2 linked regions of the Ovis aries genome follow. The main gene of each other region encodes a partner of the protein of the gene in region 2 in a complex. Links are inferred from orthologs where the notes say so. Each region holds a gene or a part of one and is shown on either strand. Other genes may lie near its edges.

Evidence for each region.
Region 1: VTI1B (region 2) and BET1L share a complex: the UniProt entries of both Homo sapiens proteins name them as parts of the SNARE complex. The link is inferred for Ovis aries from reciprocal best matches to the Homo sapiens genes VTI1B and BET1L.

The regions. Positions count from the first base shown.
Region 1 is NC_056074.1:47,474,290-47,485,370, reverse strand, and holds BET1L (BET1-like protein), read right to left. Parts: upstream 5,611-11,081; 5' UTR 5,545-5,610; coding exon 5,526-5,544; intron 4,392-5,525; coding exon 4,300-4,391; intron 4,060-4,299; coding exon 4,003-4,059; intron 3,874-4,002; coding exon 3,706-3,873; 3' UTR 2,620-3,705; downstream 1-2,619. Other genes in the region: CIMAP1A (ciliary microtubule associated protein 1A), read left to right, coding at 1-9; RIC8A (synembryn-A), read left to right, coding at 7,359-7,442, 7,736-7,783, 7,869-8,459, 8,941-9,032, 9,503-9,653, 10,526-10,621, 10,707-10,851, 10,925-11,069. UniProt on the Homo sapiens protein: Vesicle SNARE required for targeting and fusion of retrograde transport vesicles with the Golgi complex. Required for the integrity of the Golgi complex.
Region 2 is NC_056060.1:77,612,303-77,623,070, forward strand, and holds the start of VTI1B (vesicle transport through interaction with t-SNAREs homolog 1B), read right to left. Parts: upstream 6,679-10,768; 5' UTR 6,549-6,678; coding exon 6,434-6,548; intron 1-6,433. Other genes in the region: RDH11 (retinol dehydrogenase 11), read right to left, coding at 10,151-10,292. UniProt on the Homo sapiens protein: V-SNARE that mediates vesicle transport pathways through interactions with t-SNAREs on the target membrane. These interactions are proposed to mediate aspects of the specificity of vesicle trafficking and to promote fusion of the lipid bilayers.

The sequences.
Region 1 (11,081 bases), on a different chromosome or scaffold from region 2:
GTGGACTAGCCCCGGCCCCACCCCCATGCTGGAAGTCTCTGCACATCGCCCCACTAAGAGATGCCCCGAGCTGAGGGCTGCAGCCGGCCCAGCCCTGGAGGGCAGAGCACGCTCGTTTAGCCAATTGCAATCAGTTATTTTTTCTATGCGTTCCCATTTGCTAACCTTGTTTCTTGCTGTGCCCAGATATATAATAAAATCATGGATTCTACCAGCAATGGTCTTCTCTTGGGGGAGGATCCAGCTTTTCCAGAAAGAGGCCCCCATAGGCGATCACGCCATCCCATGTCGAGTTCCAGGGCCCGGGGTCTGAGCCGAGAGGAGGGCTCGTTCTGCCTCCATCCCTGCCCTCCACGCTCTGTTGTATCCTCCAGAAGGTCTCTCCAGGTGGTTTCTCCCTGTGAGACTAACTCTTCCCTGCTGAGACATGGAGTCTGTGCCCCTCCCCTGGATTCTAGAATAGAGCCTGTGACCATCCTGAATAATCATGCTGCTGTTATTGACTTCTGAAGCCAGGCCACACAACATACAAAGGGTTTCTGCCTGGACAACCCCCTTCTCTTTGCTCATCCTCCCATCAGCCACCACACTGTGAGTGAGCTCGACACACAGCAAGGCAGTGAGGCCAGGTGGGCCCTCAGCTCACATTCTGCAACCACCTGCAGATTTGTGTTGAGCTTGCAGGGGGTGGTAGTGCCAGCCTGCCTCCAAAAGGCTGTAACTAACATCCTAGCGCAGAGAGAACCATCTCTGTCTCAAACACAAGGGGTCCCCATGAGACAGAGTCCCCTGTGGCGACACCTGAAGGTGGTCTGCTATGCATCAAGCCCAGGAGCACAGCAGGGTGTGGGCAGGGAGGGGTGTCTGAGCGGGGATGAAGAGAGGTGTTTCCAGAGGGCACCCTGGAGTCCAGGGCCAGCCTTGAGGAATGATTCTGATCTTCACCCCAGCCCTGAGCAGGCAGCCCTGTTGCACCTGTGCCGGCAGCTATACGAAGGACATGACAACTGCTGGCCCTCACTGAGCTGTGACTGTGTCAGGCTACTTGTTCTAAGTACTCACATATATTCCCCCAATCCTGACGCAGTAATGCTATCATCTTTCCATCTGAGTCACAGGAACCTGGGCAAACAAAGGTCCAGGAGCAGGAACTGTCAAGCCCACATCTGCTTGTCCAGGGGGATGTGTGAGCAGCAGAGTCAAGACCACCAGTGCCTGTGGCCAGCTTGTAGATCACGGTCAGTTCCAGACAAACCTTTCTGAAGCCCCCACAGAAATGGAAACACCAAAGGCCATGTTTACTTTGATGCTGTTTATTTCGAGTTTTTCTTGCTAAATGCCTTGTCTTTGACTTAAGGGATAGAGCCTGGCTGTCTGTCCACACGTGACCCCAAAGGTCCTCAAGTCCTTCTCTGCTTTATAGTCTCGGGCTCAACGTCAGCAAACCCCACTCACCCACAGGACTAGGCGCTCAGTGTACAGGGCTGAGAAGGGTGAAGGCCCCACAGGAAACCCTCCTGACACAGCACAGCAGAGCTCCATGCCCGCTTCAGCTGTTCATCTAACACAATGACAAACAAACACCCAGACCCCGAATAGCTGGGAAGGCTACAGAGTCACAGAGATGGAGAAGCAGGGAGGCACAGACGGCAACCTGAGGCAAACCACACAGCAGAGATGGCGAAGTCCTCCTCAGAGAAGGGACTTCACCGACAGCCCAGTCGGTAGAGACCCTGGCTGCAGTGCAGGAGAGCTGGGTTCGTTCCCTGGGATGGAAAGACTCCCTGGAGAAGGGAAAGGCTACCCACTCCAGTATTCTTGTTTGGAGAATTCCATGAACTACAGTCCATGGGGTCACAAACAGTCGGACACGACTGAACAACTTTCACTTTCCTCAGAAAAGACCACCCTGAAACACGAACTCCAAATTCCTGGTCTGCTTTGGAGCGGGGCAGTTGAGGAGGGCTGCCCTGGCTGAGCCACTTTCTCAGGAAGCAAGGTTAGCAGGCCCAGAAAAGGCAGGGGCCACGGAGTTCAGGTCTGGGGGTATCTGCTGTGCCTGCAGTGACCAGATGAAGACACTCTATGGGTAGCAGCTTTGAGCCTGGTGACCAGTGGACAAGTCCCTGTGACTAGGTTCACTGTGAGAGGGCAGAGGGCGAAGTCAAAGCCGTGGTACACAAAACGGGGGTCAAGGCACGGCCACAGGGTCCTGTGCAGGGATGTCAAGGAGGACAGAGATAAACCCAAGCCCCAGGGACACAGAGGCAAGCAGGCCAACCTTACTGTGTGAGCAGCACGCACTGGAGGAATGGTGACCGTCAGGCAGAACACTCAGGAGGCCAAGGGCCCAGCCAAGTGCAGCAGAGAGAAAAGGGCTCCATGGCAAGCGTCTGAGGAGAGGCCGGGCCTGCTGGGCAGGGAACCAGGGAGAGGAAGAGGAGCGGCAGAGTGCCAGGGCCAGAAGGCGAGGTCCGCACGGGCAGAGGAGAGGGCAAGGTGGCGAGAGGAGCGGATGCCCCACACGCGGCACGAGTGTGCGGGCAGCTGGACGGTCAGAGTGAGGAGCGTACCCAAGAAGATGGGAACAGGAACCAGGAAAGACACAGAGCCAACGACTTCTTACAAGCGTTTTTTATGGGAAGACGAGGACACCGGGGACTCACAGGGAGGTACAACGAAGCCACTGGTTTGGCTGGGCCTGTTAGTTCAGTCCATAGGAGCAGGGGACTGACCGAGTGGACACTGAGGGCCCAGGGAGAGGTGGGCAGACATTGCAGGTTAGGGTTAGCTTAGTGGAAACTGCCCACAAACCCTCAAAAAGTGCCCTACAGTTCCTAAGAAAAGTCACTATCCAGAAACCTCCCGCGTACACCGACAAAAGCCCCGCCTCACACCGGGCCTGACTCTGAAGCGTCAGACGGACATGTCTCCAGAGGTCTAGTCTCCGGGAAGCAGGCCTCTGGTGCTGGGCAGATCCTGAATCCCGTGAGAACATCGGCTTCTGCTCCTGGACACACGGCTGGGAAACTGCAGGCCTTGGGCCCCAAGTCCTCAGCCTGCGCTGCAGTCCCTTCCTCCACCCACACCCCCTGCCCATCCCCGAGGGCCTGGTTTCAGTCGCGGGACTGGAGGGCAGGAAGAGGCCACTCAGCAGGACCTTTGAATCTCTCCGGGTCATGGATGACCAGCAGCCCTGGCCAGAGAAACTGCAGTCTCCGGGCTGAGGACACTCAGTTGGAGGTGACAGCAGTGATTTGAGCTTCACAGCCACACCCCCTTCCTGTGTCAGCTCCAGGCAGCTCAAACATCAGACACAGCCTCATCCAGACCAAGACAGCGCAGAGAAGCCTTGAGATGCTCAGAACCTCAAGGGCCGATGAAAGGACTGCTGCTCACAGGCGGCCGTGTCCAGGATTCCCAGATGCTCTGCTTGGACCCAACACTGCTGGGGCTTCTAGAGCTCAAGGTGGCAGAGGGAGCTGGGCCTAGGCTACCCCACAGGGATAGGGCCCTTGCACACATAGAACCAGCTAACAAGAGCTCACTGGGTTAGAGGCTCCCAACCACGCAGAAAAAACATTCCTAAGCCATGATCCTCATTTCAAAGGAGTATTTTGAAAACAAGTTCTCTGGAGCCCAAAACACCAGACAGAGGAAAATCCTGGTTGCCCCAGGCACCCACAGAAGCCAGTTCCCATTGGCTCACGTCCTTGCCCTCGACAGGAGGTAGGAGAGGATGAAGAAGGCCACAATCAGGCCCACAGCCATACCACAAAGAAGCTTCCGGTTGTCTCGCCCAGATCGCGCCATTGTGGAAAACCGCTTCACACTCCCTGTGAGTAGACCCGTCATACTTGTGAAATCTGAGTCCTGAGGGAGAAATTCCAACATTGTCACAAAGGGACAGTGACTCTGCAACACACACACACAGATGGGGGCTGCAAAGCAGGTGGTGGGGAGCTGAGCTGACCGTGACGCTTGCAAACCGCAGGCCCTTACCATGCCGTCCAGGTACCGGTTCTGGTCCTCCGCATCCCTATCGATGTCCAGAGCCAGCTGGTCAGGACACAGAGGGGGCAGGGTCAGACCGGGACAAACACAGTGAACAGCACCTGACCCCCAACAAGATCAACAGAGATCAGAAGATCCAAATGCCACCTGGGCCTCGCACAGATGAGTATGCCACAGGTGGGACAAGGAGAACGGAACTACCTGAAACCCATCCAGGTCTTTACTGCCCGCTGACCACCCCCTCCAGATGCCAGGTGGAGGCAAAAGGAGAGGACCACCACTGACCGATTTGAGCCTGGTGACCTTGGAGGCCAAGCTGTCAGCCATCCGCTTGTTTTCTCGGTCTAGAATCTCCTCCACAGCACCAGGGCTCTGAGCTGTGAGGAGAGAGAGAGGCTGAAAGCATGACTCCGCTCATGAACCGTGACCCCTATAATCTCGGCCCTTTGTGGCCTCCGGCCTCCAATCCCATCTGGCCCAGTCAGGCATCTAAGGGGACCCGGCCTCTGTGTGTCTGCTGAGCAGGCCCCACCCTCACCCAGGATCCAACTTCACACATGAGGAGGACTGTATAAACAACAGTGTGAGCACAGGTCCTGTGCATGTATCCAGGCTGGGATGGGTGGGCGGGCACCTCCAAAGGGCTCAGTTCAACCAGTACTTTCAGACATTCTGTGACGGAACTTGTACCATCCCTCCGCAGGTGTCACTAGCAAGGTACACAGAACCTGTTCTCAAAATAAACCCCAATGAGCTCTGGTAAGACTTACAGGGCTTGAGACTGATCCCACACAGGGTCTTGTGTGTCACCCAGAGCCTGGTACCCGCTGAGAACTGGCCCGAGACAGGCGCTGGGCCTGGTGATTCAGAATTACCACCCTACCAGGCTGGTGAGAACTGTTTCCCACAAAGTTCAGAGTGCGCATTTGCCTCGAGCCCGATGCCTCAAGGAGACTCATCAAAAGCGGGCACAGTCTAGGAACCATGGCTTCTTACAAACCCCAAAATAAGAGGTGTAAAGGTCCTACCGACCGACTGTACCCTTAACTCCTTAAAAGTCACAACAGCCCAGCGAAACAAGCATCAGCATCCCACTTCGCAGGTGAAGAGAGACTCCCAGAAGGCAAGTGGGGTACTAGGCATGCTTGGGCCCTCCTATCACGCGCAGCTCTCACTCCGAGGGGGTCTAGCCTCAGGGACCCGTCAACCAGGAGACCCGGCCGAGGTCCCGTGCAGAGTCATCTCCCAGGGACGAAACGGGTGGGGACTGCGGGCATCCGGACCCCGCAGTTTCACGCAGCAGCTGGGCAGGAGCGCCCAAAGGGACCCAGCGACTCATCCACAGCGCGGCGGGCTGCACCCTGGCCGCCCTGCCCAAACTACGCCCGCCCGCAGTGTCTTGCCAACAACGCCACCTAGTGCCGCGGAGAAAGGCGAAGGCGGTTCCTAAGAGCAGCGGAGTCGGCCCCGGCGAGCCCCGTAGCCATCCGCCTCCGCCCTTCCGCGCTCACCCCGAGCCCAGTCCGCCATCGCGTCCAGCTCCGACCCCAGGGTCCGTCACCGCTTGATTACAGCCTCCTCGGACGTGGCGCAGTCGCCGGAAGGGGCTTCCGGCCCCACCCCTTCCGCCTCAGGCCCCCCACTTCCGGCCGAGATCTGGCCGACAGACTCGGCGGTGGGAACGGGAAGAATCTGACGTTTCTTCCGTCGTTTGACTTGGGGATGGGGCTGGCGTTTGCTCTCGGGACTCCTGGATGATTTGTGGTTTTAGAGGCAACTATGGTGCCCACAGACACTCCAGCAGCCATTCCCGCCTAAGGCGGTGTCGGGGTCCTAACTGGGAAGAGCACACGGGCCTTTCCCGGGCCAAAGAGGCTCCTCGCCGCGACCCCGCCGGGGTTGAGGCCCGGAGCGAACTCGATGGGAAGCCCGGTTCCAGTTACTGCCGGCAGGACAAACGAGATCAGTGCCTGGAACGAGCGAGCGGTGCAGAAGTCGCAGGAGTGAAGCCCTCTGAAGAAAACAAGGAACCAGGAAGAGGGGTGGGAGCGTGAGGGGAGTGGGTACGGGAGGAGCCAGCGCTTTTTGACCTTGCACGCGGTGCTGACAAGGGGCCTGACAAAGTAGATGCTTAACAAAGCCTTCTTGCCCGGTGGATGGGTTATAAGTTACCCACCCCCCGTAATGGAGCAATTGCTGTGCCATGTACTCGACAATCCACTGAAATGGAAACTTGTATCGTCTCTGCTTTTCAAAAAAGGAAACAGCCCAAGCAGACGAGCAGGTGTGCCTGCTTACACAGCAGGGAAGTCACCGCACACAGTCAGACTTTGTCTTCCTCCTGACCTTCCCCCCACCCCGACCCCGTCTCTCTTTTCTCTCAGCTCCAACAGTGATGTTTCTCTCTCCCTCCACGGCCATTCCCACCCTCGCACTGGCCACTCCTGCCTTGCAGAACCTTCCTTCGGAGCCTTTCCTGGCTCACTCCCTAGGCTCCGGTCTCAGCAAAAACTGACTGGCACTTCTTCAGATCTCCTTGCAGCCCATCAAGCCCCTTTTGTTATTCAATCACAGCACTATAGCTGCCTAACGTCGTCTTGTTTGCCCGTTTTAGTCTTCACATCCGGCACATAAGCGCCAAGAAGGCAGGAACCTGTGGGTTCTATTCACCCGCATCCCGGCTCCTCGCGTGCAGTAGGCACTCAAACATCTGTTTAGAAACCAAGTGGTCCGGAGGTTGTAAACTCCTTTCCACCTCGACTTTTCCCTGGACGTTTCATTCGTTCTGTGCATCAAGAGCGGTGTTGGTGTGCGTGTGATGGAGGGGTGCGGGGCTGAGGCCCTCTCCTGTCAGGAATCCTAGCCCAAGGAGTGAGGCTCACTGCTCGGTTCAGGGCGATTCTGGCCCATAAGTCGGACGATCACCGAGCCGGAGTTTAAGGCCAAAGCTGACTCGGCAGCAAAGTCTTCAAGTTCTATCCAGCTGTTCCAGGCCTCGCCCCTTTAAGGCGCCACACAGACCAGAGAGCTCTGCGCCCGCCGGGTCCCGGCCTCCCCTGCGCGCAACCCAGGCCCCGCCCCACGGCGCCGCGCACGCCCCGTCCCGGCCTCCCACGCGCGCAGCCCAGGCCCCGCCCCTTTAAGGCTCCACGCAACCCAGAGAGCTCGGCGCCCGCCCGGTCCCGGCCTCCCCTGCGCGCAACCCAGGCCCCGCCCCACGGCGCCGCGCACGCCCCGTCCCGGCCTCCCCCGCGCGCCGAGCCTGGGCGGGGCGGGCAGACGCTTGCCCGGAATCGCGAAGCCGGGAGCCTCCGGCCTTCCTGGCATCGGGTCCTGGAGGTGCCATGGAGCCCCGTGCAGTTGCGGATGCCTTGGAGACGGGGGAGGAGGACGTGGTTATGGAAGCTTTGCGCGCGTACAACCGGGAGGTGAGCGGGAGTTGTAGACTTGGGACGTGCAGAGAGGAGGTGGGGCCGGGTGGGGCCCGCGCGCGTGGCCGGCTGGAGGGGCGGCGAGAGCGGTGAGCGTGGCAAGGGGCTGAGGGTGGAAGGGAGAGCGATGGGGAGGAGCACCGACTCTCTGAGGAGTTGCGAGGGTGCCGGTGTGTGGGGCTGGGGCGCCATTTGTTCATAGAGGTGCCTTCGGCCTCAGGCCCCCATCCGCGGAACCCGGGTTCTGACGCGGTAGGCCTGTGCCTTCTAGCCTCTGGGTTTCTTTGCAGAACTCCCAGAGTTTCACGTTTGATGATGCGCAACAGGAGGATAGGAAGGTGGGTGCTCACCGGAGGTGGAGGGGCGTGATTGGGTGGCCCAGGTAGAAGGGCCTGGTGGAACGGCTCTTCTCCCTGCCCGCAGAGACTGGCGAAGCTGCTTGTCTCGGTCCTGGAGCAGGGCCTGCCACCCTCCCGCCGCGTTATCTGGCTGCAGAGCATCCGCATCTTGTCCAGGGACCGCAGCTGCCTGGACTCCTTCACCAGTCGCCGGAGCCTGCAGGCTCTTGCCTGCTATGCTGGCATCTCCGCCTCCCAAGGGTCGGTCCCTGAGCCGCTGAACGTGGATGTCGTACTCGAGTCCCTTAAGTGCCTGTGCAACCTCGTGCTAAGCAGCCCCGGGGCACAGGTCCTGGCAGCAGAGGCGGGGCTAGTGGTGAGGCTCGCAGAGCGCGTCGGACTGCACAGCCGGAGTAGCTTCCCGCACGACGTCCAGTTCTTTGACTTGCGTCTTCTGTTCTTGCTAACTGCACTCCGCACCGACGTGCGCCAGCAGCTGTTTCAGGAGCTGCAGGGAGTGCGCCTGCTGACCAGGGCGCTGGAGCTGACGTTGGGAATGACTGAGGGCGAGAGGCACCCTGAGCTCCTGCCTCCCCAGGAGACTGAGCGAGCCATGGAGATCCTCAAAGTGCTTTTCAACATCACCTTCGACTCCATCAAGAGGGAGGTGGATGAGGTGAGGGCGGACCTCAACCTGTGGGTGGGGTTTAACAGCTTGGACATTTCCTGCACATGCTGCTTTGCTGGGTTCCTTCAAATTTCTGGATTAGGTGTGCTTAGCCAGTCGAGAGAAGCAGGGAACACCTATCTTGGACCGGTCTCAAGGAAGTTTTCTGAGGGAGTTGGAGAGCATAACTGGCTCTTGCAGCCTGGCTGGAGGGCTGTGTGGTGTGCAGGGGAGGCTGTGAGATTCTTCGTGGTGAGACTGAGTGGGGCTGAAGCACAGAGCAGCTGTGTGCCAAGGGGATCCATTGATTTTCTTAACCGAGAGTTCTCTTGAGGTCTCCTGGGAGAGGACAAGCACCAGGGTGTGCAGTAGAGAAGCATAGTTGTTAATGCATGAGGTCTTGCAGGGGTGTCCAGAAGGTAGACTCTCAGTTGGCAGCAGTGGGGCCAGTGGGGCGCGCTCTCACAGGAACTCCTGTCTGTCTGGTCAGGAAGACACTGCTCTATACCGGCACTTGGGGACCCTTCTGCGGCACTGTGTGATGGTTGCTGCTGCTGGAGACCGCACAGAGGAGTTCCACGGGTGAGGGGGGTGCCTGTCATGCGGGGGGGTGGGGAGGAATGGGGGTGGTTTGCTCACAGGTCGCTGTGGTGGTTCCCAGCCTTAGAGTCTTCATCCTTCTGGGTGGAACCAGACAAAAGTGTGTTTCTGGGGCGCTCCAGCACTTATGGTCTAGGATCGGAGGTGTGAGTCCAAGGCAGGACGGTGCCAGGGGGCCTTGGGTAGGGGCAGCGGGCGCTGTGGTATCGATAGGGTGGTGTGCTTCCTCACTTTCCTTCTTGGTGGCCTATGCCTAGGCCGGTTCTCAGTTTTAGCTGTGGTGCCTCAACCTAGATACGTGGTGGGTTGGGCATTTACAGGAAGTAGCACTCTTGCCTCTGGTACCTTGTTCTGCTGCTTGGGCCCCCAGACACTGGTTCACGGCATTTACGGCCCCAGCAGCTGGCAGCAGGGGTCGGTATTCACCAAGTGCCCCTTCCATCTGCCCCCAGCCACGCAGTGAACCTCCTGGGGAACTTGCCTGTCGAGTGTCTGGATGTTCTCCTCGCCCTGGAGCCACACGGAGGTTCCTTGGAGTTCCTAGGGGTGAACATGGATGTGATTCGTGTCCTCCTCAGCTTCATGGAGAAGCGTCTTCATCAGGTGGGCAGGGGGACTGCTGTGGCTTTGGCCCAGGTTTTTGCAGCTACTGTGGTCACTGTGTTTTTGCTGTCCACACTGGTGAGGGGAGATCACCTCCCCAGTGTGATTCGGGCGGTTCCTCCCACGTCATGGTCAAGCCGGATCTTCCTCCCTGAGAAGTCTGTGGGCTTCATCTCGAGGGCTGCTCGTGCACAGGGACAGTCTGAGTCCAGGGGCACAGAGAGGGATGAGGGGCAAAGTGCTTTCAGAATCTGGCAAAGGACTCATTTCTTAGACATCTTTGTGAATCCTCTTGAGGAGTCCTGAGAAGCCTCCCACCCCTACCCCCTTGAAGTGCCACCACGCTCCCCATCCCTCTCTGTGCCCCTGGACTCAGAATGTCCTTGTGCACGAGCAGCCCTCGAGATGGGCGTCAGCTGTGCCATGGTTTCGCTCGGAGGACCCACAGGCCCTTGAGAGCCCGCAGCCCCCCGCTCCCTGCAGCTGCACCCTGGGATGCTGACTGGCCGGCACTCTGACCAGCTTCTCTGGGGGTTTGCCGGCGTCGTGCGGGCTGGAGCACGGCAGGCCTAAGATTCAGTGCTTTGGGAATGGTCTTGTGTGCTGGTGGTTAACGACTTTAAACATGCTGTTTTCCACCCCTCATTTAAAGGTGGGGAAAGTACGTGGGGTTGCCCAAACGTACAAATGGCCTTCTGAGTTAGGGTCTGTGCCTGTTCTTTTTGAAGCTCATACAGACACCCACGGCTCGCTCTTGGTCCCTCAGCTGGGGCCACTTCCCAAGTGCCTCCCACCAGGATCATCTGGGGCAGGTTCCTGGCCCCCGGCCTTGAGTAAGGGGGCCCAGTCCAGTGACCGAGGCTCCTCTGCAGACACACAGGCTGAAGGAGAGCGTGGCCCCTGTGCTGAGCGTGCTGACGGAGTGTGCCCGCATGCACCGCCCCGCCAGGAAGTTCCTGAAGGCCCAGGTATGGGGTAGACGGGCTGTGGCTGAGCCCTGGTTGGAGACCCTGGTCCTTCCAGGCCCAGGCTGAGAGACAGCTGCCTCCTCAGGTGCTGCCCCCGCTGCGGGACGTGAGGACCCGGCCTGAGGTGGGGGAGCTGTTGCGAAACAAACTAGTTCGCCTCATGACGCACCTGGACACTGACGTGAAGAGGGTGGCAGCCGAGTTCCTGTTTGTCCTGTGCTCCGAGAGCGGTGAGTGGGGGGCCTGCCCCTGCCTGCCCCTCCCCAGCTACGCTTCCACACTGACTTCTGCCCTGCCCTTCAGTGCCCCGGTTCATCAAGTACACGGGCTATGGAAATGCCGCCGGCCTCCTGGCTGCTAGGGGCCTCATGGCAGGGGGCCGGCCTGAGGGCCAGTACTCAGAGGACGAGGACACGGACACGGACGAGTACAAGGAAGCCAAGGCCAGGTGTGTGCTGAG
Region 2 (10,768 bases):
AGAGACAAATTCTAGAATAATTCAAAGAAGGCAGCTGTATAATAAGAATTGGGGTAGGGGGGTGGCAAGGTAGTCCACAGAGTCTTGATCCTTTCACTAACTTCCCTGCATGATTCTGTTATTCTCAGTCTTTTTGGAATACTCTACTCTCTGATTTCATAAGACATATATTCTCCTAGGAGTGCTCTACAGCCTATACACTTTTAAAGATTCAAGAGATGGAACCCCTACCCAACTGAGAGGTATCGATACCTGTTCCTTTATGCTTTGCTCAGAATTGTGAAATTAATGAATGTTAAGAGCTAAGATGGCCCTCAGAAATCATCTAGTCTAACCTCATTTTACAGTTAAGGAAACCAGAGCCTGGAGAAACTGTCTTCCCCAAGGCCATAGAAAAGAGAAGGTGTGTAGCAACACTAGTTACAGAATGCAAGTCTCCTGACTATGGCACTGTACACCATGTACACGATGGCACTGAGGGATATTTTCATGCTCTCAAGGTACACAGGTATAATCCTTTCAAATCTCTTCATTTTTTAGGGAGCTAGAATTAACACTATAATCAACTACAAAACAGCAAGACTGATACCAGGTAGAATGGACACCGGAAACTCAGAAAAAATGAGCTACTCTAAATAACACTATTCTTGACCCCTCATGTCTTTCCAAACCATTCACATGTGAGTGACTCACTCTGCAGCCGAATGTTTGGTAAACTAGGTGCATGGCAGCACAATGTCTCAGACACGGAATAAAATGGAAACAGCCAGCTCTGAAAGTGCTAGAGGAAGCCCACCTCATCTCAACCAAGGTGGCAGCCTCTCCATCTTGTAGAAAAAGAAAAGAAGGTAGCTCAGTCATGTCCAACTCTCTGTGACACTCCGGACTATACAGTCCATGGAATTCTCCAGGCCAGAATACTGCAGTGGGTAGCCTTTCCCTTCTCCAGGGGATCTTCCCAACCCAGGGATCAAACCCAAGTCTTCCGCACTGCAGGTGGATTCTTTACCAGCAGAGCCACTTGTTCAGTTCAGTCACTCGGTCGTGTCCAACTCTTTGCGATCCCATGAATTGCAGCACGCCAGGCCTCCCTGTCCATCACCAACACCCGGAGTTCACTCAGACTTGCGTCCATCAAGTCAGTGATGCCATCCAGCCATCTAGCAGTTTGAATTTTCACAGCCCCAGAATGACTCATCTTGGTCCATTAGAACTGTGGAAATAACTTCAGTTTCAACAGGATCTTTAAAATCTGTGATTAATGCTTTTGGTGCTTCCTTGCAGCATTTCTAGGACCTACATCCTCTTTGCAGACCTCATGGTTAACCTGGATCTCACACCATAAAGGAAATTAAAGCATCAGATCACTCTAAGCCTGGTTCCTCAATTATAAATAAGAAATATAACAGCACTGACCTGTATAGTTGTCTGAAAAAGACAATACACATAACAAACACGCAGCAAATGCTAAGCACATTAGGGCTCAACAAACAGTGACTACCAGTGTTTTTAAAGTAAATTCCTAGGTAGGAAGAACTAAGCAAAAACTAAATTTAAAGAATATGAAGTGTTGGAAAAATTAAAATTCTGCAGTCAGTGAGTAATTGTGTTTACCAACATGCTACATATGGTCCTCCATAGTTATCATTTTTTCTGGTTTCCAAAATAATGAAGTTTTGTGTATAGCAACTGAAATTTAAGTGAATTAAAGTGAAAAACTGAATAATTTTACAATGTTCATTACAACATGTGGAGAGATGCCTTCAGGTGCTACGAAACTAAAACTAGAAATCATGACTCTAGGTACTTACTGTATTGACTGGATAAGAATTTACAGCAGCCTGAGATATGTGGAGAGACCTCTTCAGATGCTGCAAAACTAAGACTACTGTTGTGGGTGTTTAAAGTAATAATGGATTAATAAGTATCACAAATGCTAATGGACTGTCACTTCCATACAAACTTCCTAAAGTAGGACACATTGCGTCTGTTAATCCTATCCTTTTTAAAAATAGGTGTATACATTGATTTTAAAAGTGATGACAATATGGAAAACATGGTAAATAAAATCACCTTCAGTTTCAACATTTAATCATATGTTGAGTTACTATTCTCTTCCCAACAACTCACAGTATTTATACAACCATTCAGCAAATATTTATAGAGCACCAAGTATGTACTAGGCATTGTTCTAGGTGCTTGAGTGCTAAGTCACTTCAGTCATGTCTGACTTGCTTCGACCCTATGGACTGTAGCCTGCACCAGGCTTCTCTGTCCATGGGATTTTCCAGGCAAGAGTACTGGAGTGGGTTGCCATATCCTTTTCCATCTAGGTGCTTAGGATATATAATTAACAAAACAGACAAAATATAGAGCTTACAACAGAAGAGGAGGGAACGCTTCCAAAGTCTTTTATGAGGCCAGCACTACATCGATACCAAAACCAGAGAACATCACAAGAAAAGAAAATTACAGGCCAATATCCCTGATGCAAAAATCCTCAACAAAATATTAGCAAAATGAAGGGCATTTTCCACCAAAACAGAACAAACAATCCAAAAATTTGTATGGAACCACAAGAGACCACAATTAGCAATTTTGAAAAAGAAGAACAAAGCTGGAGGCATCATGCTTTCTGATTTCAAACTACAGCTGACCCTTGAACAAGGGTATGAATTGGGCAGGCCCCCTTATAAACACATTTTTTTCAATAGTAAATTCTACAGTACCATATAACCTATGGTTGGCTGAGTCTGCAGATACTGAGGAACCTTGGATAGGAGGGCCAACAAGCTACACTTGGATTTTCAGCTACACAGAAGGTTGGTGTTCAAGGGTTAACTGTATATTATAAAGCTATAGTAATGAAAACAGTATGGTAACTGGCATTAAAACAAATTCAAAGCTCAATGGAATGGAAAAGACAGCCCAGAAAAAAAATCCACCAATGTATGGTCCCCAGCATATTTTTGTGCCTCTCTTTCAACCTCTACTCAGTCACCAGCATTCTCCTTCTAAAATACAACCATATGGTCCGATTTTTAGAATCTGTATTTTGTTCAGGATATTTGCATCTGTGTTCATCAGGGATAGTGGCCTGTATTTTTCTTTTCTTGTGATGTCTTCTGCCTTTGGTATCAACATGGGCTGCCTTTTAAAAGAATTTAAAATCCTTTACTGACTCTCCATATCAAGTTTAGATGTCTTAATGTGATATTTAGGTCCCTTAGTGGAAACAGTGTCAGACTTTATTTCTTTGGGCTCCAAAATCACTGCAGATGGTGATTGCAGCCATGAAATTAAAAGACACTTACTCCTTGGAAGGAAAGTTATGACCAATCTAGGTAGCATATTCAAAAGCAGAGATATTACTTTGCCAACAAAGGTCCGTCTAGTCAAGGCTATGGTTTTTCCTGTGGTCATGTATGGATATGAGAGTTGGACTGTGAAAAAAGCTGAGCGCCGAAGAATTGATGCTTTTGAACTGTGGTGTTGCAGAAGACTCTTGAGAGTCCCTTGGACTGCAAGGAGATCCAACCAGTCCATTTTAAAGATCAGTCCTGGGTGTTCTTTGGAAGGACTGACGCTAAAGCTGAAACTCCAGTACTTTGGCCACCTCATGCGAAGAGCTAACTCACTGGAAAAGACTCTGATGCTGGGAGGGATTGGGGGCAGGAGGAGAAGGGGACGACAGAGGATGAGATGGCTGGATGGCATCACTGACTCGATGGACATGAGTCTGAGTGAACTTCGGGAGCTGGTGATGGACAGAGAGGCCTGGCGTGCTGCGATTCATGGGGTTGCCAAGAGTCGACTGAGCGACTGAACTGAACTGAAAGGTCTGGCTGTGTCTTACTTACCTCATCTACTATTGATCTCCTACACACATCTTGTTTCAGTCACAGTTCTGAATATTTGACTTTTCTTTTCCCCTTCCTTTGTTGTCTCTTCTCACTTCCCCTCTCAGGCAAATTCCCACTCAACCCTTTACACTCAGAAGTTCTCCTTTCTGAGAAGCTTTCCTCTCACTCCCCTACGGCCATGTTAGCCTTCCTGTCACGGTCTCAAAACTATCTTAGGACTCATCACACACTTTGGAAATCTCCCATTTAAGGCAAGAACTCACAGAACTCCCCAGACCCAGGATATTGAGTGATTCATAATTCTTGATAGATGTTTATTGAAAATACTGAATTCAATTACAGAGCATAAGCTAAATGCAAGGGATGTGTTATGTATTAATGTATTATTCAGTGACTATATTATTCAGTGCCTAATAATTCATGATAGGAAAGCTTTGGAAAGCCTATGAAGTCGTCTTAGTACAAGAAAAAAAGGATTCAGAGATGACACCCCAGTATGTTTGCTTAATTAAATCCAACTTATTCAACAAATATTTATTGAGGAATATAAACAAAGCAGTGAATAAAGGGACTGAAGGCTGTTGAAATTCTTATAACCTGAGGATATGCAAATACTATATAATACTTACCCACTGAACAACTAAGTGTTACCAGCAACTTGTGTGGAGACTATTTTGTACCTGGGTAGAAATTCACACCTTTTTGATTGTCCTCAGGTAGATGACAAAAGTGAATACAACTAAGTTTTCTATTTTTGGAAACAGAATGTCCTTTGGCATTATTTAGCCTTCCCTGATAGCTCAGTTGGTAAAGAAGTCGCCTACAATGCAGGAGACCAAGTGCAATGCAGGAGACAGGGGTTTCAATCCCTGGGTTGGGAAGATCCCCTGGAGAAGGAAATGGCAACCCACTCCAATCTGGGAAACGCCATGGACAGAGGAGTCCGGTGGGCTACAGTCCATGCGGTTGGAAAGAGTCAGACACGACCTAGCAACTAAACCACAACCACACCCTTACAAAAACAAATCTTGCAAAATTTAAATCAACACCAGGTGAAAAAAATGATCTATTTTTCAACCATGTAAATCAGATCCAATCACTCTCCTGTTCTGTAGCCTTTAACTTCAAGTCACTGTATTTAGATAAAGATGCAAATCTTTCACCAGGGTTCACGTGGCCCCACACAATCTGGCCCTTTAAAACCTTATCTATTACTATTATTTCCTTTGCTCATTCCACCCTAAACACACTGGCCCTTTAGTTCTTCCTAGAGCATACCAAGCTCACTTCTGCTTAAGGACTATTGCAGTACTATTCTGGAGAAGGAAATGGCAACCCACTCCAGTCTTCTTGCCTGGAGAATCCCAGGGATGGGGAAGCCTGCTGGGCTGCCGTCTATGGGGTTGCATAGAGTTGGGCACGACTGAAGTGACTTAGCAGCAGCAGCAGTACTAGTCTGTCCTCCTGAAACTTATTTCTCCCAAATTTTTGCATGGTTCAGTCCCTTACTTCAAGTCTCTGCTCAAACGTTACCTCCTCAAAGAGGCCTTTCATAGCCATCCAATTTACAATTAGAGCTTCCCCATTCCTTGCCCTGCTTTATTTTCCTGTATGGCCCTTAACACCACTTCCAAATATTTATATCATCATCGACCCATAAGAACAGAGGTCTCTAAGTCTTTTCACAGCAATTTGCAATATTACCAGCATCTACACAGTGCCGAGTGCACAGCAGCCTCTCTTAATAACTATATGTTAAACAAAAGTATGAGTTTCATTCTCATCAGAGTCATTCAATTCATGTGACCTTAGGTAACAGAGCAAACACTCAAGCTTCCACGCTTCAGGAAAAGCAATGAAAGTCTCATCGGCCTTGCCATCAAGATCTACTTGTTTTAAGGCAAAGAACTATGATAGACCTTCCTATACAGATTCAATCAAAAAATTCTTAGCTCCCCCAAGACAAGCTTGCAGCACACTGCATTATGAAATCAAGGGGCAGGAAGGTCTAAGCAGAGGTCATAAAAGGATCGCACCTGAAGGCCACCATCCTCATTTTAAAGACCAATCCCTCCCCCAACCCCTACCCGCCCCCAAGACTGGTTATTTACACCAGCCTCCAAAGTTATGATGGCTTTGGGTTTTTAACCCTTTTTGTGCTACAGGTCCTTTGCCAATCTGGTGAAAACTATGGGCCTCTTTGGAGAACACTTTCAAGCGCGGAAAACAAAGTACTGAGAGCCACAAAGAAAACCAATTATACTCAGTTTACAGATTTAAGGGTCACAGGTATAAGGTCTCTCATGCCCATCTTGCCACAGTGAAAATGAAACGAGCGAACTCTGAAGGCAACAGGGGATTCAAGAGAGAGATGACACTCCGTGGTGGACCCCTGGGTACCTAAGTGTCAGCACGGAGATTCTGGACGCCGGGACTCAGCCAGGCCTAGGGGGCGTGCCTGAGGACGCCAAGCGAGAGACGGGAGGGTGGGTCTGGAAAGGAGGTGGGGGTTCTTCCTCCCGGTGCTAGCGGAGCGCTGTTCCCGTTGTCTCATCCCGCCCCCACCTCACCTGTCCCTGCCATCCCCAGGAGCCGCTCCGGCACCCCTCGTAGGTCTTCATGGAGGCCGCGGAAGATCTCGTGCAGTTTCTCGAAATGCTCCGAGGAGGCGGCGGAGGTGGCCATGGCGCAGGCCGCTCTCGAGCAGCGGGCGCCGAGATTCTGGGCCCAGGGCCCGCTCCTACTCCGCCGTCAGCCGCCCAGCCCCTCAGGCATCACGGCGACCGCCGCCACAGTCCCCCGACGAGGCGCTTCCGGGGCCGCGGCGGGGTCCTCCCGGGCCGGAACGCCCATCCCCTGCTTGCCGTCACTGACGGCGCGCCGGGCGTCAAAGCCTGACAGAAAGTTAGTCTGGCTCCGTTGCCCGGGAGACTTCTGAAGGGGCGGTGGCGCTTTGGCGCGAGCGGCAGTCTCGGAACCCCAGAAATACTCAGTCCGAGGCTGTAGGGAGGCCGGATGGCGGAAGGAAAACATGGGCACCCGCGGGCCGGCCGACGCGGGCGCCTCTTTCCTGGGCCCCGCCTTCCGGCAAGGATTGGGGGGGGGGGCTCTGCAGTGCATGCCGGGGGTTGTAGTTCGGCACGAAAGACGCTCCGACTCGGAAGTCACGAGTTGCCGGGGGCGGTGGTCCTGCTGTAACCGCGGCCGCCGGCGTGACCGCGATGCGCAGCGGTTAGGGTATCAGTTGGCACCTGGCCGTCGTCGTCATTATCATCGCACTGTGACTATCCTGATTTCCTCAGTTCACATTCCGGCTGTTAGCTTTCAGTTCTCAGAAGATAGTAGGACCAGGTGCCTGCCTGCCCCCGAGTTGAAAGCACTTTTATTGGGGAGCAGGTGACTGGAGTGACATGCTTTCAGGAGTGGCCCCCGGACAGCAGTGCGACCCCTCAAATATGCGCTCAGCCTCTTATTTGGGCTGAGCTCATATATCGGCTTGCTCATGCAGTCATTCACTCAGCAGGTGTTTGTCAATTTAACCATAGCCTTTATGCTGGGTTCTGGGCATGTGTTGGTGAATAAAAGATTCATCGCTTGGATAACTTATAATGTAGTGAGCAAGACAGACCTGGCTTCACCATTAAGTGTAATGTGTTAACGATTACAAAGCCTTTTCCTGCACTCTGTGGGTTCCCATGGTTAGTGGGAGAAAGTTCCTATTTCCGTTGATTACATGGTTTGCCTATGGAGTTCATTCTGAAATGTTTCCTTGGCAGCCCAATACTGAAGACTGCCCACACATTAAGATACATTTGACTGTTCGGGGGAAATGATTTGGTGATGTATATACCTCCTGGGCCCTTATTTTTATTAGACTGAGTTCATTGGCCTTTGATTCAACAAACATTTGTTGAGCTCTTTGTGTAGCCAAGTCTGCAGTTGTTAGTAGCAGTGTACTGTGATAAGTCCCAAGAAAGTGAAAAGTGTCAGTCGCTCAGTTGTATCCAGCTCTTTGTGACTCCATGGACTGCAGCCTGCCAGGCTCTTCTGTCCAGGGGATTTCCTAGGCAAGAATACTGGAGTGGGTAGCCATTCTCTTCTCCAGGGGAATATTCTTGACCCAGGGATGGAACCCAAGTCTTCTGCACTGCAGGCGGATTCTTTATCACTGAGACACCAGTATTCATTGAGCATTCAGAGATAGCAAAGTCTGGGATTGTTAGTAGTAGTGAATAGCATTGTGTTACAGAAAAGGCAGGTACAAAAAGGAAAGATTATAAATAGCCTGGGTTGGAAAAAGTGGTCTTTGAACAGTGTCATAAAAGATTAGCAGAAATGGGTGAATGAACAATCAAATTATCAACAACCCAAGTTAATAACATTTGAATTGAGACTGCACTGTGGCAAACTCTGGGACAAATTGTCCTCATGAATGAGGACTGATTGCATAACCATAGTAATGAAAAGTGTTTTCTTATTTTGACCGTAATTAAACTTTCATTTAATTGCTTTCTTCTGTTGATGCAAATTAAATTTGCTTAATTATTACAGGTTTTATTCTGGTAAATAAAAACATGGTAAATCATCAAATTTTTTATTTGTCATTGACAGTTCAATATAAATTAAGTAAAATATTAATTCAGTTCTGTACTATTATCAAAAGTTTTCCAATTTTTCCATAAAATGACCATATCTAAATATATAGTTTAATGGTCAAAACAAGTTCAACAAAAGATTATTTACAAATATGAGAAGACTATGGTCCTATGACTCTTTTCTCCACCAAAGTGAACATGTAATTACTAGTCCAAGAAAATCATAAACTCTACTAAAAGAATGTACTCCAAGCAAGTGATGGAACATGTTTGTGTTCCAATTTCTCAGACTTCCATTACTTTGGATAAACATTCTTCAAGTAAACTATACAGCAGACATTTTAATCTTGTCATGGTCATATAAGGAAATGCCCTGAAAGAGTTTTAAAATGACCATAATTACCAATACCAATCCTTAAGATAATTTTGCTGAATAAAGAATTGGAGCGGGTTGGGGACTGTTTTTGCTTTTCTGCCACATGGGTTGACGGATGCTTGTTAAAACAGTGCCTTATCATGCTTGAACACAGGGTGCTGCTAAGTAGTTACCCTCAATTCTTCTATTGCTGGATTTTACCATCTTTAGCTGTGCATTAAAAAAAAAAAAAAAAAAGAAACACCTTTTTCTAGCCCCTTCATTGCCTTTGCATGCATTACCTTCCAGGATTCTGCTCTTTTTTGGACTTCTCCCCTGCTACCCATGTGCTTCTTGGGTAGAGTTCATTTCCTATTTGTATCAAAGGCTGAGTGACACAGGTCTGCTCTGTCTCTGATTATTTATCGGCACTAGGGTCCAGTTTAATACTCTTCCTTTGTGACTATTTTGAATACTCCCAACTGCTTAAACACACAAGAACACACACAAAGATATACTCAGGGACAATCATTAAATAGCCTTCCTCTTCTGGTTTGCTAAGAGAAACTAAGGCACAAAGAGGAAGCCTCCATGAATCAGGGTCAGTAACTGAAGTCAAGTGGCCTATCTTTGCAAACTGCTTTTTCCACTACCTTCTTGCTGATTTGAGAAACAGCAGAAAAATGAATGACAGTTTAAATTTGATGTTTATTTCTGCCTTTCCGCAAATCTCTGCCATCCAGTAAACTCCACTTTCTTAGAAAAGGAAGTTCTTCTGTGATCTAGGCATGGGAAAGTGTTTTAGCCGCAGTGGCTTTGGATTGTCAGAGATAAAGCCATGCCACAATCCAGATTCAGTGAAGAGCTGAAAGAATTCAGATATTGGTGCCATGGCGGTTTTCTTAAGAGAAGAAGGACAAACCCTGCCCTTGAGCCAAGCCACTGGGACTCCTAGAGTTTAGCTGAGGCTAAATCATGCCTCCCCTTGAAGGTTGTTTGGTTCAGAAGAACTACATTGTGGACAAAGAGGATAGAAACTAATCCAAAGTGCCATCAATCAACCTCTGCCACAGCTCAGGTTCCCCTGGGTAAGAGGCTTCAGAAGGAAAAGATGAGCTTGGAGGTCACCTGAGGGTCTACTTAGCCTATATTATCTCTAGTAACGGGCAGTAATAGAAGCAAAATAACCTGGACAAATGCAAGGTGTTTGGATGAATCCGGCAGTGTACACTGGGCTTTTGTCAGGCATCAAACAGGCAAGGTTGGAAGGTGTGCTTTGTGCTCAAGGTTTTGGCCATCCTGAAGGAGAATCGTTTTGGCAGGGCATGCTAAGTAGTCTACTTCAAGCTTCTCTTGGGTCCAGCTGCCATCATCAGCCAGTCCACAGGAATGCCCAGCAGGTCACAGCTGACGTCCCACAGCCGCCTTGCTACTGTCTCATTACGAGCCTGTGCAGAGACCCATGCCACATGGCAGTCACTGGAAGGGAAAGAGAGAGGCTTAGCACACAGGGTTAAGAATGCAGTCTGCCCTCCGCCTGGCATAAGGAACACGACAGAAAAATAACCCGGGGATGACGTGTGTTCTGGGTGCTTCGCAGGACCAGTGTTTGTCCTATCTCTTCATTCTCCAGTCTTTACCCCAGAGAAAAATGGGGCCAGAACCATTTTGGAGCTCACTAGACCACCTGGGATCAGAATGTTTGTTTGATATATAATACACATCATTTAGTCTTTATATCCCCCTTGTGTGTGTGTGTGTGTGTGTGTGTGTGTGTGTGTGTGTGTGTGTGTATAAATATTTAATTATAACATCAGTGCCTGGCTGATACCTGTGTATATCCATCTTGTTCAAATATATCTGTAAGGTCAATTCTGTAAGAAGTTGTACGGTGTCATGTGGCTGAGATACTACATTGCTCATAGATGCTTGGAGTGATTGAAAAAGTGCTTCTT